2 linked regions of the Oryzias latipes genome follow. The protein of the gene in region 1 purifies or fractionates together with the protein of each later gene. This does not show direct contact. Links are inferred from orthologs where the notes say so. Each region holds a gene or a part of one and is shown in the gene's direction. Other genes may lie near its edges.

Evidence for each region.
Region 2: the proteins of top2a (region 1) and znf451 purify together in Homo sapiens (affinity purification with mass spectrometry; 3 studies listed by BioGRID and IntAct, with this or other methods). This does not show direct contact. The link is inferred for Oryzias latipes from reciprocal best matches to the Homo sapiens genes TOP2A and ZNF451.

What each region holds. Positions count from the first base shown.
Region 1 is NC_019877.2:4,658,137-4,660,971, reverse strand, and holds part of top2a (DNA topoisomerase 2-alpha), read left to right. Parts: coding exon 1-88; intron 89-165; coding exon 166-283; intron 284-2,741; coding exon 2,742-2,835. UniProt on the Homo sapiens protein: Key decatenating enzyme that alters DNA topology by binding to two double-stranded DNA molecules, generating a double-stranded break in one of the strands, passing the intact strand through the broken strand, and religating the broken strand.
Region 2 is NC_019873.2:24,422,090-24,426,345, forward strand, and holds the start of znf451 (E3 SUMO-protein ligase ZNF451), read left to right. Parts: upstream 1-1,179; 5' UTR 1,180-1,269; coding exon 1,270-1,282; intron 1,283-1,746; exon of another isoform or gene 1,747-1,871; intron 1,872-2,504; coding exon 2,505-2,566; intron 2,567-3,045; coding exon 3,046-3,129; intron 3,130-3,231; coding exon 3,232-3,345; intron 3,346-3,618; coding exon 3,619-3,730; intron 3,731-3,837; coding exon 3,838-3,988; intron 3,989-4,075; coding exon 4,076-4,202; intron 4,203-4,256. Other genes in the region: dst (dystonin), read right to left, coding at 548-579, 783-969. UniProt on the Homo sapiens protein: E3 SUMO-protein ligase; has a preference for SUMO2 and SUMO3 and facilitates UBE2I/UBC9-mediated sumoylation of target proteins. Plays a role in protein SUMO2 modification in response to stress caused by DNA damage and by proteasome inhibitors (in vitro).

The sequences.
Region 1 (2,835 bases):
CCCCCGCGTCACCAGCACCATGAAAGCCGAAGCGCACAAAAAAGCTGAGCTGAAGAAAGGAGAAGGCCGGAGGGGAAAGAAAGTCAAGGTCAGCTGATGCTAACATAGCTTAGAATGATGGGAAATGCAGTCCAAACTTCAGTTTCTCCTCTTCTGTCGATGCAGAGTGAAGATGTTGTGGTGAAGATGGAGTTTGGCGAAGAATGTGAGAACCTGGAGCAGATCGAGGAAACTGGTCTGGCTGCACGACTGGGCAAGAAAACCAAAACCCAGACTAAAAGAGGTATTTAAAAAAAAACAGTTGTTTTGGTCAGAAAAGGTTGATTAAAAAGCAGGAAACTTAAACCAAAACAGCATCATTTTTCTCTTATTCTCATTCTCATGTAGTAAGACGCTCTCTATATATAATTTCGAAGCAAATATTTTGAAATTTATAACTTTTATCTGGAAAATACAACTGAAACAAAAGTTTTTTTCCTTTAACAATATCTATTTTAATAATGGGATGTATCTGCGCTTTTCTAGATTCTCAAAGCGCTGACAATGTGCCCATTATTCATTCACTCCTCATTTATTCTTGATGGTAACTACTGATGTAGCCACAGCTGCCCGGGGGCAGACTGACAGAGGCGTGGCTGCCAGTTGGTGCCTCCGGCCCCCTTATCCCCGCTCCAATATCTGATACCTGTAACCTGTGTTAGACAAACATTGTGGTTTTGTGATGTAACTGGAACTTAGTGGCCTGAGTCACACAGTTATGAGGAAGCACTTTCACCACAGAAATGTGATTAAACTCAATAACATGGGGCATGCATGCCACTGTTGGCACACGGAGGATCACTCCTTCATGTGGACATCCCTGATGTTACGCCTTTTTATTTTTTTTACTTTTTTTTGCAGAATCAGTTTTTCCTTACCCAGAAGGAGGGTCAAAGGGCAGGGATGCCCACTTTAGCATAGTCTGTTTAGTTCAGTTTAGCCATTATTGAATTCTATGACTTCATGTTCCTTATGATTTCATATAAATACTGCCACTTTTCCTAGTCAGCCTTCATGAATGGATGATTTATATTACTGGGAAAAGGTGTTGTTCCCCCCGGTGACCTGCATTTTTGTAAAATGTTGCAGGTGAGATGAGGGTTTTGGTGACAAAAGGAAAAATCTGAGCGAACGGGATCTGCGAGCTGCACAGGTTCAGGACTGCACAGAATAAGAACCAAGCGAGTTCCGATTAAACCGTGACTTTCTTTCTGTTCTGCCAAATGTTCAAATGAAATGTAAACATGTTTTTTAAGCTGATGGCAACTCCAAAAAAGAAAAAGAAATCATGCTGTCCATTTGCAGAGAATGCATATTACTATAATCAGCAAACTAATTTTACAAGCACTAAAAGCACCATGACAGTATGAACTTGCATGAAGTAGGGGTGGCCGTGGTAGGGCGGTCGACCCCTGACCGGAATATTGCAGGTTCGATTCCTGTTTTGCCATGTGTCGAAGCGTCCCCTGACAAAACGCTGAACCCCATAAACGCCCTGGTGGAAAGTTGGCGCCAGTTTTCGGCAGCTGAGCCGCCATTATAAACCAAAATCAGATTTTTTGAGTAAAGTTTGTTTTTTATTCATTGTGCAATATTTTTATGAAAGCGCTTTTTTGAGTCGATGACAAAATCTGCTTTAAAAACCTATTTCACTCCCTGAAAATAAAATAACAAATATTTTTAATAAAATAACATTTTAGATCTATTGGAAAAGTTCTACTTGGCACAGATGTTCAGGAGAACATTTGGAATTGTCACCGTGTGCCCAAAAACTTTCCTGACCGCTATAATCCTACGCTCACATTTAGATAAGCACAAAAAAGTATTTGCCAGGACTAAATAGCTTTTCTGCTTGTTTGTCAGACAAAGGAATCATTACTCAGATTATTTTTATTTTTCCACTGCAAAAAGAGGTACGGTAGGCTAAAAATAAGAAAATCCTATTTAATATTCATAAAGGGTAACGCAATCTAGAGATGAGTGTTCAAAAATGAAAAAAGAAGCTAATTTTTAGATACAGGGTTCATACGGTCAAGAAAACCTGAAAAGTTTCTAAGAAGCGACATCTTCTCTAAAGTTTTGGAAAAAGTCATGAAATCTTGATTCTTTGGATGCAAAATTTAGCGGAAATGACTCATTTTAGAACAAAATGTCAACAAAAAAAAGAATACAAAGTTGGTATTTCTTGATAATCTCATAAAATCCAAAACCATCACTTATTTTTACAACATAAATCTACATTTTGATTTCTAAAATCATGACAATGAATGCCAGTCCAACTATATTAACCTTTAAAATAACATCCTTCACACTGAATCAGTGCAATTTGAAGTTCTTTGAGTCTCAAATCAAGTTTATGTCAAGATTATGAAGACAAAGCATTTAGTCATCTTAATAATAACTTTCTTGATTATAGATCCTAGATCTAAATGAAACAAAAGAAGCTTTGAGAAAAGCTTATAGACATGCAGAGCAAAGAGAAGTTAAAACAACTTCCAACCTGATCAAAAGTCTTGAACGTTTAAAAACGAGGTTTGAAATCTTTGCAGGGATTGAATGAATGGATGGAGGCCACCTCAACTACTAATGAACAGAGTGAATGGGTTTTCTTGATGCGTTTTAACAAAAAATCATGTCGACTAACATTTTCATGTGTAACTGGCGATTTATTAGGAAGTTTGAAGAGACGTTTTTTCTTCCAGCTCTTTCCAGCAAAGGGAAGCAAACCACTCTTCAGTTCTCGACCGTCTCTAAGAAGCCAAAGAAGAATCCGTGGTCGGATGAGGAATCTGAAGC
Region 2 (4,256 bases), on another chromosome or scaffold:
TTCAAGTGACATAAAAGAACCGGCAAGCCATCTCAACTACAGGACTCTTTCAGTAAATAATTGATGACGTTTATTTAAAGGTTTTAGATTAAAATATAAAACCTCCCTAAAAGACCTGTCACAGGGCTCTATCATGCTTTATAGTTTATTTTAGTTACTAGTATAGTGAATTGTTCATGCTTTTGGCATGGTCTTACACAGACTGGATATTTTAAATGTTCCGTGTTTTATTTTGAAATCGAGTTGCGTCAAACGGAAACAGCTAAAATAATGTCAGCAGTGATCGAAACGACAATCACTGTGATGAGCAGAAATACTTAACAATAAATCTAAAGGGTTTTTCTTACAATTTTATGGCTAAAACTATCTTGGGGAAAAAAGCTAAATCCCCTACATTACTTTTTAATAACATATGCGCACTGCGCACACACAGTACCCAAAAATAGAAATGCATTCTTAAGTTAAAGTCAAGAATAGTTAAGGGTTAAAAGGAATCAAAACATGGCAATAATGACACCTGAAAGCAATGACAATAAGTTCCCCCTACCTCTGATCGAAAATGATGCGTTCTCAGACCAACTATAGGAGAGACAGCATATGTTAAACTGGGATTAAACATAATGACATTTTGAACCATGAAATATCGTGTCTTCAAACACAATCATGATTTATTCATTTGGCAGCCTCAAGCTGCAGATGTCAAATAGCATTTAAATGGGCTGTCAGTCAATTTAAATCAGAGGGAAACGCAGGAGAAGCGGCTGGCCTGCGCCACGACTCACCGCGACTCCTGGAGCGCCCGCCGGAAAGAACCGATTTTATTGGATGCTTCCCATCGCGAAGCCTCCGATGCCAGCAGCAGAAAAACAAAATAGTCGCAATAGTCCCAATTAAAAGCAGCAGCAAGAGCAGCACATACTGGATACTGTACGGCCTGAGCAGCACCAAAAACGCCGCAGCGATCATCATAGGGTGTAGATATGGAACAGATCCTCTGCTGCACCACTTAGAGCTCCAGATGAGGATGAAGAGGCTCGCTGACACACTTGAAGCATCACACAGCCAAAGACGTGGAGCGTCCAGAGTCAAAAAGGACAACCCAGACCACTGATAGCACTATTGTGAGGTACAATGCATGACTCAGCACAGACGCACGTTCCCTTATTTATTTATTTATTTCACCGAGGGCAAAGGAGAGTCAGCAGATTTATCCCAGCCTGCATCGCAGTAATCTGCTGCCCGGTCTCTCTTCCCTGCAATAGGAAAGAAATGGCTGCAGGAGGTGCGTCTAGATCTGCAATTACTAATGGTTTTACAGCCCCCACCTCACTAATGTGCTTAGTGGGAGATGTGATTTTTATTTATTTAAAAAAGATGTCTTTATTGTTTTTATAAAAGGAAATCATTTTTATATTTCAAGTAAGAAATGGGGACAAAAAATAGTCAGATTTGTGAAAATCATTCAAATTGTTCAACAATACTATAGAAAAATTAAAAATAAATACAATGCTTGCAAAACGTACCAATCAATTCCAAAAACTCGAAGAAAGAACAACTATCTCATTTATTTTACCGTTTAATGAACATTAACTCCAACAACGGGGTCATAAATAGATCATGCGTTAATCATTCCGTCCGTAAAAGCTAGGACACGGGGGGTGGGGTGCTCTGATATTCGTTTCAGTCGGAAAATGTAAAGGAACCCCGCCCGTCTGGCCAAAGCACGTACAAAACAAGCGCGTCTTCTCCCGTGACGTAGTAGACCAGACTAGCTGCTGCATTCACTAACATTTGGGACGTTGAAGAAAGCTTGACCCAACGACGGCAAGAGAAGTCAGCAAGAAGAGGAGTTGGTAAAAAAAAAAAGAAAAGTGATTAAATTGTTTTATTTTTTATTTAAGCTTTCACTTGTCGTAGTTTCTGGTGTGTCGATTGCATACCACTCAACTGAAGTGAAACAAACATCTGACAGCTAAACCAATGTTAGCTTAGTGGTGATCGACATGCATGGCGGGCTATTAGCTTGCTGTTTTGTGTTTTTTAAAGTTTCTAATAAACTTATTATTCAGCCTGTGTTTAATCTTCGACGGAACCTTGAGCTAGGTTGACTGGCCTAATGATAATTTAACCTTTACGTAATTTTCGTGCAAAATTGCAACGATACAGTCGACAAACAGTGTCTGAAAATTAATTTTACACATGGGAAATCCAGTCCTTGAATGCAACATTTTGGCGCTTTCGTTCTTCTTCTGTCTTCCATGAGGCAGCTCTTAACCCAATAATGCCACCACTGGTTTAAATGTGTACTGCAATACCTTTCTAAATGATAGCCTTTATTAAAACATTGTATGGCTTCATGGAGACAAATATATCGCTTCTCTTTAAACTTGTGGGCTGCAATTTAATGTTTGCTGCGTCATTCAAACTTAGCATTTATATTGAATATGCATGTTTAAAGTTAGCTGCAGATTCCAGGTGCATCATGTTTTTCTTTTTTCCCCCAGAAACAATGGCTTCTCCAAATCAAGCACAGGAAGATGAGGTGGAAGAAGTGGAGTTTGTCTCAGTAAGTGACATTTACACACATTTCTAGTTTACATAACAGACAATAACAATAAAGTTTTAATTATTTGTGTTTCCAATTCAAGCGACTAAATTTAAAAGTAAAATAAATAAATAAATAAATGTTTGCAGAAATGGAAAAAACTTATTGGCTACTTGGAATTTGGAGTGTGATGGCCCTGATAATGATACATCGCACTACATTTCAATGCATTTCGACTAAATTGATCATAAACTGTATGATGCAGCAACAAATTTTTACCCATTTGAGATATCAATGATAGAAAGATGTCTCTGTATGCTAATAAAAACCTTTTATTTTAATACTAAAGTATGAAGTTCCGTTACCTCCTGGCTTTAGGTTGCAAAGGTTGGATCTCAATAGTACTTTAATGCTTTATCCATGCTCAGAATTCAAACTAATCATAATCTGGACTATGATGTTTGAATACAGTCTGATGCATTGCTTTTTATGTCCTTCAGGAGGGGCCTCTTAGACCAGTATTAGATTGCATTGATCTGTTGAGCGATAGTGATGAAGAGGGATGTTCATCACTGCCAGTCTTGGTTTGTGATTAAACATATTGTCTGCTTCATAAAAGAAGTATCTTTCACAAGGATCTTCATTCTTTTACAAAATCCTCTTTTTTTCTTTTCTTTCATTGATAGACTGAGGACAAAATTAGCCAGCACAAAGCGCACGTCACATCTACGCTGGACAGACTGGCTCACCAGGTGGCTTTGGAGAAAAAGGAGAGAGCAAAGAAATGTAGAGCATTCAAGGTATTGAACGTTATTATCTTTTCTCTTTCTTGTTTATTTAAGCTTAATTTCTTGAAAGCAAAATTTGGTCAACAGCAAAACACATTTCTGTTTGTAATTTTTCTACACATTAGTTCACCTAGAAACAGTGAATCTGGTTATGTTTGCAACAGAGCCCCCTGGTGGTGTGAAACCAGACTTTTTAGAATGAACAGGTTTAGTCATTTCAATATCAAAGTGTTGAAATTACCATGGGCTTCATTTCCTGAAGGTCTTTGTTTTTTCTTCTTTTAGGAGAAGCAGATTTTACAAAAAGCTCACGGACAGCAGGAGCTGGCTGTGAGTTCTGCCAACCGAGTTAATCAAGACGCAAGGCGCTGCGTGGAAATGTGGCTGAAAATGCCAGGTGACATCTATGTTTTTGTCTTTCTTTAGTGTAAATTAAATTTAAAGATAAATCAGTCTTGTAGATGACAGATTCATGGTTTCTGAAAGATGTGTCTGTTCCTTCAGGTGTTAAACCCGGGCTGATCAGTGCTGGTTCAGGTAGAAGACCCCCCTCCTCTTCCTTCCCAAAGAACAGCTTGACAAGACAGACGTGTCCTGTGATCAACTGTGGGCGTGTCTATGACAACGCTTCGCTGCTTGACGGACATTTAAAAAGGTCAACGAGTTGTGCTTGTGCTGCTGTTGATTTGCAGAGACTGGTGCATTCTAATCCAACCCTGGCTGAGTAAAGCTGTGTGTGCAGGTTTGACCATTCTCCATGTGACCCAGAGATCAGCCTCAGAGGAAGTCCATTCGAGCAGTTCGCCTGTGTGGCGTGCAGTCAACATTTTCCGTCCAAAGATGCATGGAGGCGGCATGTGGAGACAAAGGTTGGAGCACTTTTCCCTAAAATACAATCAGGATCATCTTGTTTCAGTTTAACA